Linked DNA regions of Saccharomyces cerevisiae S288C. The protein of the gene in region 2 binds, or shares a complex with, the protein of the main gene of each other region. Each region holds a gene or a part of one and is shown on either strand. Other genes may lie near its edges. The genes, in order: CTF3 and MCM22. A codon is read from its position in the direction of its gene.

The links.
Region 1: the proteins of MCM22 (region 2) and CTF3 are in contact, whole or in part, in a cryo-EM structure (PDB 7L7Q), measured with the Saccharomyces cerevisiae proteins. Residues at the interface, in NP_012669.1 of Saccharomyces cerevisiae: Leu57 (codon at 1,325), Arg58 (codon at 1,322), Lys59 (codon at 1,319), Pro60 (codon at 1,316), Phe63 (codon at 1,307), Ser64 (codon at 1,304), Arg66 (codon at 1,298), Leu74 (codon at 1,274), Asn77 (codon at 1,265), Phe78 (codon at 1,262), Leu79 (codon at 1,259), Leu81 (codon at 1,253), Arg82 (codon at 1,250), Ser85 (codon at 1,241), Ser86 (codon at 1,238), Glu88 (codon at 1,232), Trp89 (codon at 1,229), Leu92 (codon at 1,220), Met93 (codon at 1,217), Gln96 (codon at 1,208), Met103 (codon at 1,187), Gln107 (codon at 1,175), Ile110 (codon at 1,166), Asp113 (codon at 1,157), Leu114 (codon at 1,154), Glu116 (codon at 1,148), Leu117 (codon at 1,145), Lys120 (codon at 1,136), Leu121 (codon at 1,133), Gln124 (codon at 1,124); in NP_013485.1 of Saccharomyces cerevisiae: Leu296 (codon at 1,946), Glu297 (codon at 1,943), Leu299 (codon at 1,937), Ala300 (codon at 1,934), Gln301 (codon at 1,931), Trp303 (codon at 1,925), His338 (codon at 1,820), Leu339 (codon at 1,817), Ser342 (codon at 1,808), Ile346 (codon at 1,796), Ser384 (codon at 1,682), Ser387 (codon at 1,673), Met388 (codon at 1,670), Gly418 (codon at 1,580), Cys456 (codon at 1,466), Glu460 (codon at 1,454), Phe463 (codon at 1,445), Tyr464 (codon at 1,442), Asn500 (codon at 1,334), Asn501 (codon at 1,331), Ala502 (codon at 1,328), Thr503 (codon at 1,325), Ser504 (codon at 1,322), Asn505 (codon at 1,319), Arg506 (codon at 1,316), Phe507 (codon at 1,313), Met510 (codon at 1,304), Ala511 (codon at 1,301), Asp549 (codon at 1,187), Asp550 (codon at 1,184).

What each region holds. Positions count from the first base shown.
Region 1 is NC_001144.5:877,731-882,553, reverse strand, and holds CTF3 (Ctf3p), read right to left. Parts: upstream 2,832-4,823; coding exon 630-2,831; downstream 1-629. Other genes in the region: leucine--tRNA ligase NAM2, read left to right, coding at 1-487; CSR1 (Csr1p), read right to left, coding at 3,046-4,272. UniProt on the Saccharomyces cerevisiae protein: Component of the central kinetochore, which mediates the attachment of the centromere to the mitotic spindle by forming essential interactions between the microtubule-associated outer kinetochore proteins and the centromere-associated inner kinetochore proteins.
Region 2 is NC_001142.9:675,286-678,631, forward strand, and holds MCM22 (Mcm22p), read right to left. Parts: upstream 1,494-3,346; coding exon 774-1,493; downstream 1-773. Other genes in the region: SGM1 (Sgm1p), read right to left, coding at 1-567; protein transporter TIM8, read left to right, coding at 1,686-1,949; TTI2 (Tti2p), read right to left, coding at 2,156-3,346. UniProt on the Saccharomyces cerevisiae protein: Component of the kinetochore, a multiprotein complex that assembles on centromeric DNA and attaches chromosomes to spindle microtubules, mediating chromosome segregation and sister chromatid segregation during meiosis and mitosis.

The DNA.
Region 1 (4,823 bases), on a different chromosome or scaffold from region 2:
TCACAACGATTTCCAACGCTTCTTGAAATCAATTACGGAATCATTTGAAGTTAATCTATCGTTAAACACTGTAATATCTGATTATATGAAGCTAACCAATATTTTAGAAAGTGCATTGAAAAAAGGTGAAGTAAGGAATGAAATGATAGTACAGAATTTACAAAAGTTGGTAACCGTTATATATCCTGCTGTCCCGTCAATTTCAGAAGAAGCTGCAGAGATGATCAACTCCCAAATGGAATGGAACCAATACCGCTGGCCAGAAGTTGAGCGCACTACTGAGTCCAAATTCAAAAAGTTTCAAATTGTGGTAAATGGCAGAGTCAAATTCATGTACACGGCTGACAAAAACTTTTTGAAATTAGGTAGGGATGCTGTTATTGAAACTTTGATGAACTTACCGGAAGGGAGAATGTATTTGATGAATAAAAAAATCAAAAAATTTGTCATGAAATTCAATGTGATTAGTTTCTTATTCCACAAGTAATCATATGACGCCATGAATTTACCACTAGTGCTTGTAAATAGTTAAATATTAATGCCTTATAGATATAAATTGTCCAATCTCCTTTTTGGAAGTTATAATATATATATATATATATATATGTATATAAATGTGGATGCATATTCTAAGAATTTTGAACGCTATACTTTGAGAGACTCTTCAAATATGTAAACAAGAATGCTGCAATGTCTCTATATGGATTAGCAGTGTTACTCAAATGCATTAAAATCTTTACTCTCAAGTCGTGAATGTTATTAACGCCCTTTATCCAACCATGCTGGCCAATCTCATCATGATGAACTCGAAAGAAATTGTTAAACGTCTCTTCATTTATGATCCCACTGGTGAATTTTATTTTGGTATTTTCGGCCGTTTCCAGTCGTCTTAGAATAATAATACATATGTAGGATAGCGCTGGTATACCAGTTATCGTGAAAAATTTAGCGTTCTTGAAGTCTGCAGTTGGGATATAAAGATTCTCCAAAATCTGCTTAAAGAAATCTGGTGAGACTCCAAACAAACTTTTGGATGACAGAACTTTATTCCTGTAAAGATAATTTGTCAAATCCATGATATATTGGTTCTGCATCCGAACGAATTTGTTTGTTGACGGGTATTGCATCAATTTATTTTTCGTAGCAACCAAGTACCTGCACGCAGCTGATAATAGCAAAGGATCGTCCGAACTGAACACTTTATTCATGATGTCAGGGCCCACAATCAAATATTGGATCGCATAATCCGACTTCGTTTGTTTCGACAGTTGAGTTAAAATATCTAACGAGCTGATGAAAGCCATCGTAGAAAATCTGTTTGAAGTAGCATTGTTAAAGATTTTGTCCAAAGTTAGCAGGCTTTGCATGTCATGCAGTAGTGTCAACCCGAGTGCTATCAATTTATCATCTAAAACCCAGTTTGTAATCATTTGTAAAACGTAAAAACAAGTTTCAGAAAATGTGCAATTATTGTCGTGACCATCTCGTGTACTCCACATAAAAATACTGGCCATAAACTTAACGAAAAATTCCCTTGTACCACTGATTAGTTCAGGCTTCCATAATGGCAAGATTCCGCCACAAACCTTTTTCAACGTAAGCTCATCGAGTTTTAAGTATTTCAAATTACAAAACGTTTGAATAATGCGAGAAGACAGTTTATTATCCATTGAGGACACCGAAATAATAATGGGAATAACTTCTTGCGGAGTCTCTATCTGATGTGCAAAGCATCGCTTCAATTGCCAAATGCACCATTCGTATGGTGATGACGACTCATCGCGGCTATTTTTAATGAGAATGATACTAGAGTACAAGTGTTTGAGAGAATCCCTAGACATGACTTTTCGCGGCAGTAAAACATTGCTGTTTAAAGATGGCTTCATCATGTAATCTACATCATTGGGAATATGCAATTGTGGCCAGTTTTGAGCTAATTGTTCCAATGAAGTGACATCCCAAAGAGAGACCGTACTGTCAGAGGGAACATATTCTGGAAGTGATTGAAGTCGAAGTGGGTATATAGAATCAGCACCTAATTGATGAATTTCACTCAAGTACATGTCAATTGTGTTTTGGACAGTGTCAGCGGGAAAATTAGCGGGATGTGCTCTGGATAATATTCTTTTCAAAATGGATAGGAAATGCGCATCCAATTTTAAGTTTCGATGACTTTTCAAAGTCTTTCTATTGCAATTGATGGTAATTATTGATTCAGTAATCTGACTGGATGCGCCCACGAGACATTGAAATCGTTGCAAAATAAGCGTCGCACTACCGGGAGCGTCCCGGTAACCTGGATGCATAGCGCATCTCTTGATAATAGACAACTTCCAAGGTTTGACATCAACGGGCGTCGTGGCTTGCCAAATAACCAGGGGAGTTATCCACTTCTGTAAGAACGAGAATTGCCATAAATGTAACCAGATAGAACTGGATATATTGTGTTCTCGTTCTGAATGTACAGGAAATAGGAAATAAACATGCACTAACCATTTGCACAACGCAGATTGTAGGACCGGAGGCGTTTGTATGCGATATCTAGAGAATACCGTTGGCGTACCGAGATGGTTAATAATCTCCAAAAGAAGTTCCTTCGTCAAGTAGCCATCAGGTAAAAAGCAATTTTCGACGATGTACACTTTTGTAACTGTGTCTATTATGGAAGTTTCACAGAGTAACCTTACAAGTGCTTGTAGTTGCGGCGAAGAAAGACCATATTGTTTTGATTTTTCGTATAGCAGGCTTAAAGTGGTTTTAAGGGCCTGTGGTGGCGTTCGTTCGTTAGCATTCGTTAGTGAGAGGATGATATCATCTAGTATAAGACTCATTCATGTAAAAAAAACAAAAATTGAAGGGCGAACCGTATTAGCAGGCGTATTGTTTTTCATTTCATAGTTGATTGTTTTTGATAATAAATGATTCTATAATTTTTCGCGTATTATACAAATAAAAGTAAAAGAAAAATAAGATAGAGGGACATATAAAGAAATAGATGTTTTTATAATAAAGGTCTATACAGTATGGAGCGTCGCGTGGCTTGGCTCAAACTTTTAGAGAACCATTGTAGTCATAAACGGATCTTGATCTGATGTACGGATCTAACTTGGAGTAGTTTTCACAAAGAGCGGTGGAAAGTTGTACTCTTTTCTCCTGCAGTTGAATGTATGCTGGATCGTTCAATGGCTGGTGTTCAATCCATTGGGCAGTGACAGTCAAGAATTGTTCGACCAATTCTTCTCTCTCCTTTTCGATCATAGCGCGAGTCTCGGTGTCTTTCAGATGGACGTCCAAAGAGCCATCTGGTGGAGTGTAATGATCCAAATCATTGTCATTTTCTCCGCCCAGATACCTAGGGATGTATTGGGGTTGGATAAACTTGTGCAATTCGTCGATATTCTTAGTGAAAACAATCTTGGACGCGACGACCGGATCCAGCCAATTCTTGATGATGTTCCAAATCGGGTTAAAGATCCAAGGGGCCTTATGGATAAGTAGATGGCCCAAAGATTCCGGGTAGTGAGCCTCAAAACAAGTGATTAGAAACTTGACGGGGGCATAGTCCATATTGGACATGGAGAACCCGTTCAGATCGAACAAGATGGTGGTGGATGCGGGGTAGTTTTCTTTGAAGAAAAGCTTTGATTGCTCGATGACCAACAGGGAGAATTTTTCCAGCTCCTGTTCAGTTTGGTCGGAAGAATGATGTAATCTAGGTCTCACAAGGATGACTGGCCTCATGTCATTGTCGTAACCCTGGATGGTGGCCTTTTGCAATTCCAGGTTCTTAATGACACCGGTCTCGTTATTCTCATACACAGCTCTTTCGCCACCGTTTATGATCTTGTTAATAGTGTCCTTGCGCCAGTACAAATCGTGACCCAACATGGCGATGGTCTTGTCTGCGTTCCACTTTCTGGCTCTGATAAACTTCAAAATGGTGGCGTCTGGAGTTTCATTCTTGATATCGTGCCAGAACTGCTTCTTGGTCGTTTGCGGGTCTAGATTGGCTAGTGCCTTGTGTATCTTGCCCTTTTCATAGAGGTGTGCCGCTTCAGCGGCTTCGCTGGAGTCCTGTGTATGGTCTGAGGACTGAAGCTTGCTAAACCAGGATGATTTCTTCTTCTTAGCAGGGGTGGACGAGGAGTGGAGGGAGTTATTAGGGAAAATATGAGTTCCATCCACGGGAACTTGCCACAGATGGAAAAGGTGTGTCCAAATTTGCTTAAGGACGACCTCCTGGTCTTCGGTCAACTGTCTATCAAAGGACATAATCTAGTTTATATGTGGTCTTCTTATGTGCTTTTGTGCTTTTATGCTTCTGTGTGCGTACGTATCCGTATATTTGTATGTTTGATTTTGTTTAAAGGAGCGTAAGTGACAAGTGCCAAGATTTAAAGAGCGTACCAAACGCTATTGTTTTCACCATGTGAACAAAGCTGTAACGATTTTATGTACGTACGCAAGAGGACGATGCCGATTGAAGGCAGGAGCTCAACAAACACGAAACAAAACAACGAAGAAAGAAAAGAAATATATCAGAGAACAGAGACCGCCTCGTTTAGGGCCGCACGTATACCGCGCACTCTTGGGACGCAGGGACGCGATGGCCTTGCCATGTGCAAGATAAACAAGCTGTCAACGGCACAAGTAGCGTTTATTTGAGACCTGCTTGCTTTAGCTTGCATCATCTCTTGTTCTTCTTACAGTGGTCGCCTTAGACCATCCCATTAGCCAGTTCATGGCCAACTCTCCGTGTGACATGACGAGTGGTTTTCCCGAGTGGAAAGGTTCAGAAATGCATCTGGATTCCGATGGCATAC
Region 2 (3,346 bases):
TGATTGCCTCAGCTCAGTTTCCGCTAATTTAGCTCCTTCTTTTCTCAACTGATCTATCAAGTCGTCCTTCTCTTTAATCAATTTGAAAAAACTAGAATCCGTGGTTTCGATTTGTGATTTTCTGTTTAGTTCGTTAGTTAGGTCATCAATCTGTTTGTTTAATCTTAAATATTCAGGACTAATTTCTTTGACTAATTCTTCAACAGTAAATTCAGTGTAATTTTTAGGTAGCCATGTAGGCAGTGATACCATAGTGTCGTCGAAGCAATCAGTCCTATTGTGATCGGGATGCACCACGTCATCGACAGCGATTGAATCTGCCTTACCTGTATCGCCTTCCACAGTGCTTTCTGATCGTACCGCAGGATCATCTATGTTTTCAGCATTGTCAATTGACACCACACCGGCAGCCGCATCATCAATGGATGTACGAGCACTTTCTTGTTCATTGTTTGACAGCACCACAGGCGATGGAGACGACAAATTTGACGTTGACCTTTTATTTTTCTTTCTTCCTTTCTTAGTTGCCAAGGAGAGTCTCTCTTCCAACGATAATTTTTTACTCATAGCAAAATTGGTATACCACTACCATACAACACTTTTTATATACTATTCTGGACTAAGGACCTTTTAACGACAGTCTATTAAAAGAGGAAGTCAAGAGCTTTTTGGTGAATAATCTACGGTTACTGCCAAATTATGATCTTCTAAATTTTGGCGCTTTATAACATCCTCACACCACTACGAAGCACACTTTGACTACGAAGTATTACTTAAGTTAGACTGGTCTCATTGAAATCTATTAGTTTGATGTATTTAGTCCCTGGATTTGTAGAGCCCTCAATTACTGTTATTATATTAGCCCTAAGTAATAATCTGTATATTGGTATCGTTTTAGATGAAAAATCGTTTAATGTCAGATTCAAATCATGCTCAATTAGTCTTTTCATTAACAGCATGACTTCGTTCGTTAAGCTATCTATTGATTCATCATTATCATCCAAATTCGGTACTAGATAACCCTTGAGAAAGTCCGCCAGTGAGTCCCAAAGCTCTTTATTTCTGGCTTTTCGTGTTCTAATATGGGCGTGATCTTGCTTCTTACTGTCCATAATGGTCATTTGATGCTGCAGTTTTCGTAGCAGCTCTTTCAAGTCACTATTAATATTATTCTGTAACAATAACATGGCCTTTTGATCAACTGATTGATCATTCATAAGCGAGAGCCATTCACTGGAACTTTGGGCTCTCAAAGACAAAAAATTCGATGTCAAACTGAAACCAATAGGATCAGCTCTCTCTGAGAAGAACATGGGTTTTCTTAATAACTCTGTAAAGACCTCAGAATTGACCGGTTTACCCTCTGTATCCAGAGATCTCTTCGTGATCTCATCGATGGCACCTTGAGCTTGCTTCAAGAAATATCGTTTGTTTCCGATCTGGTTCTCCAGGTTCTTTATGTAGACATCCAGGACATCCTTTTCAACATCCATGTTTCCTTTGTGAGACTTTCTGCCGTTTGCTCTTGTCCCTCTTTGTCGTCATATGCGTCTTGTTTGTTGTTACGCTGCATATCAAAGCGAACGGTTAGTTATTAACTAACGTAAAAATTGATGGAAACATTCATTTATATGAAAGTATTGAAGAAGAGGTAAAAAGGAAAACAAATTTACAAACAACAAAGAATGTCTTCTCTATCAACGTCTGATTTGGCCTCCCTTGATGACACTTCCAAAAAGGAAATTGCTACTTTCTTGGAGGGAGAGAACTCCAAACAAAAAGTCCAGATGTCAATCCATCAATTCACTAATATATGCTTCAAAAAATGTGTTGAGTCTGTCAATGATTCTAATTTAAGTTCGCAAGAAGAGCAATGTTTGTCTAACTGTGTGAATCGGTTTTTGGATACTAATATCAGGATTGTGAACGGGTTGCAAAACACCCGTTAATATGAAACCGATTTATCTCTCCGAGTCATTATTCTCTTTACCTTAATATATCTGTAAATAAGCAAATGAATATTTTAATATATGTCCAAGGTTTCTTTAAAAGGGATTCTTCAGCATAAAGGGCAAATAACTCTTTTTGTTTATATACTGTCTAGTTATATATATATATATATGTATATGCATTTGTCTGTGTCTGTGTCTGTTTCCTATGAGAACTCAAAAAGTAACTGAAACCGCGGTTGCTTAGATAGAGTCGATAACTGTTCACCCATAGCGCAGTCACAATTCAGCAACCAGCTTATCGTTTCCTTACATTGTTGTAGTATTGATTCGTTCAACGCATCCTCTTGCGAACACTTATCGTATGTAACTAGAATTAATGATAAAATGTCGAATCTGTGAGCCACTATTCTTTCATTCGGGCAAACCTTTATGAGAGTACTTACCACTGAAAGAGTTTTTGAAATAAGTTTTGGAAAAGTTGTGTAAAAAGGATTTCGTACAATATATTCACCTAAAACAAAAATCAGCCTCTGGAGATGTACAACAGACCCTTCTCTTTGAAGTCTCAGTATGTTCATTGTGCATTCCAATGCGTATAACGTCAAATTTTCGTATGCAAGGCTAGCCCTAGGAATTATGTTTTGCAAGATTATCTCTGACATGAACTTTTCCAGGTGATATTGATACTTTGTGTAATTGTCCAAAAATTCTACTTTATATAACGACTGTATCGTTGGGAAAACGACCCGCCATATGGCTATTGTTTCATCAGCATTGTATGAGGGAGGGAGAAAATAGCACATATTGATTAGCGTCTTTTCGAACAGTGGAAATAAACCAGTACTAGAGAACTGTATCCATTTTGAGTCATTGGTTTCGTTCATAAAGGTATGATTTAATAGCGTCTGTAGGAGCAGAACACCACGAAGTTTAATTCTTCTTATATCAGTGGTATCATCTAGTATGTTTAGAATTCCTGGAATAATCCAAGAAAGATTCGTAGATATGTCTCTCCTTTTCAAATGTAACAGAATTACGTAGAATAACGGAATGCCTTTCAAGCCACCCTGACTTACCCACGCCTGCATTAGGTTATCTTCTTTCAAAGACATTCCAAGCGTGGGTTTGAGACCAAGATTACGTTGCTCTTTGAGTTCGAAGTTGCTTTTGCGTTTTAAAAGTAGTGGCTGTAACTTAGAAATAAGGACGCACATAATTTCGTCATGTTCACTTTTGTTACGCTGAAAGTAGTAATCTATAGTCTGCAAAACATCTGTGTTGATTTGTATGTCTACTCCTGGAGATATGGAGTGATATGAGAGAGATTCAATAAGGTTGACCTCATCGGACACCGTAATTGCACATCCAGTATCTGTCTTCTTTCGTAACTGGAG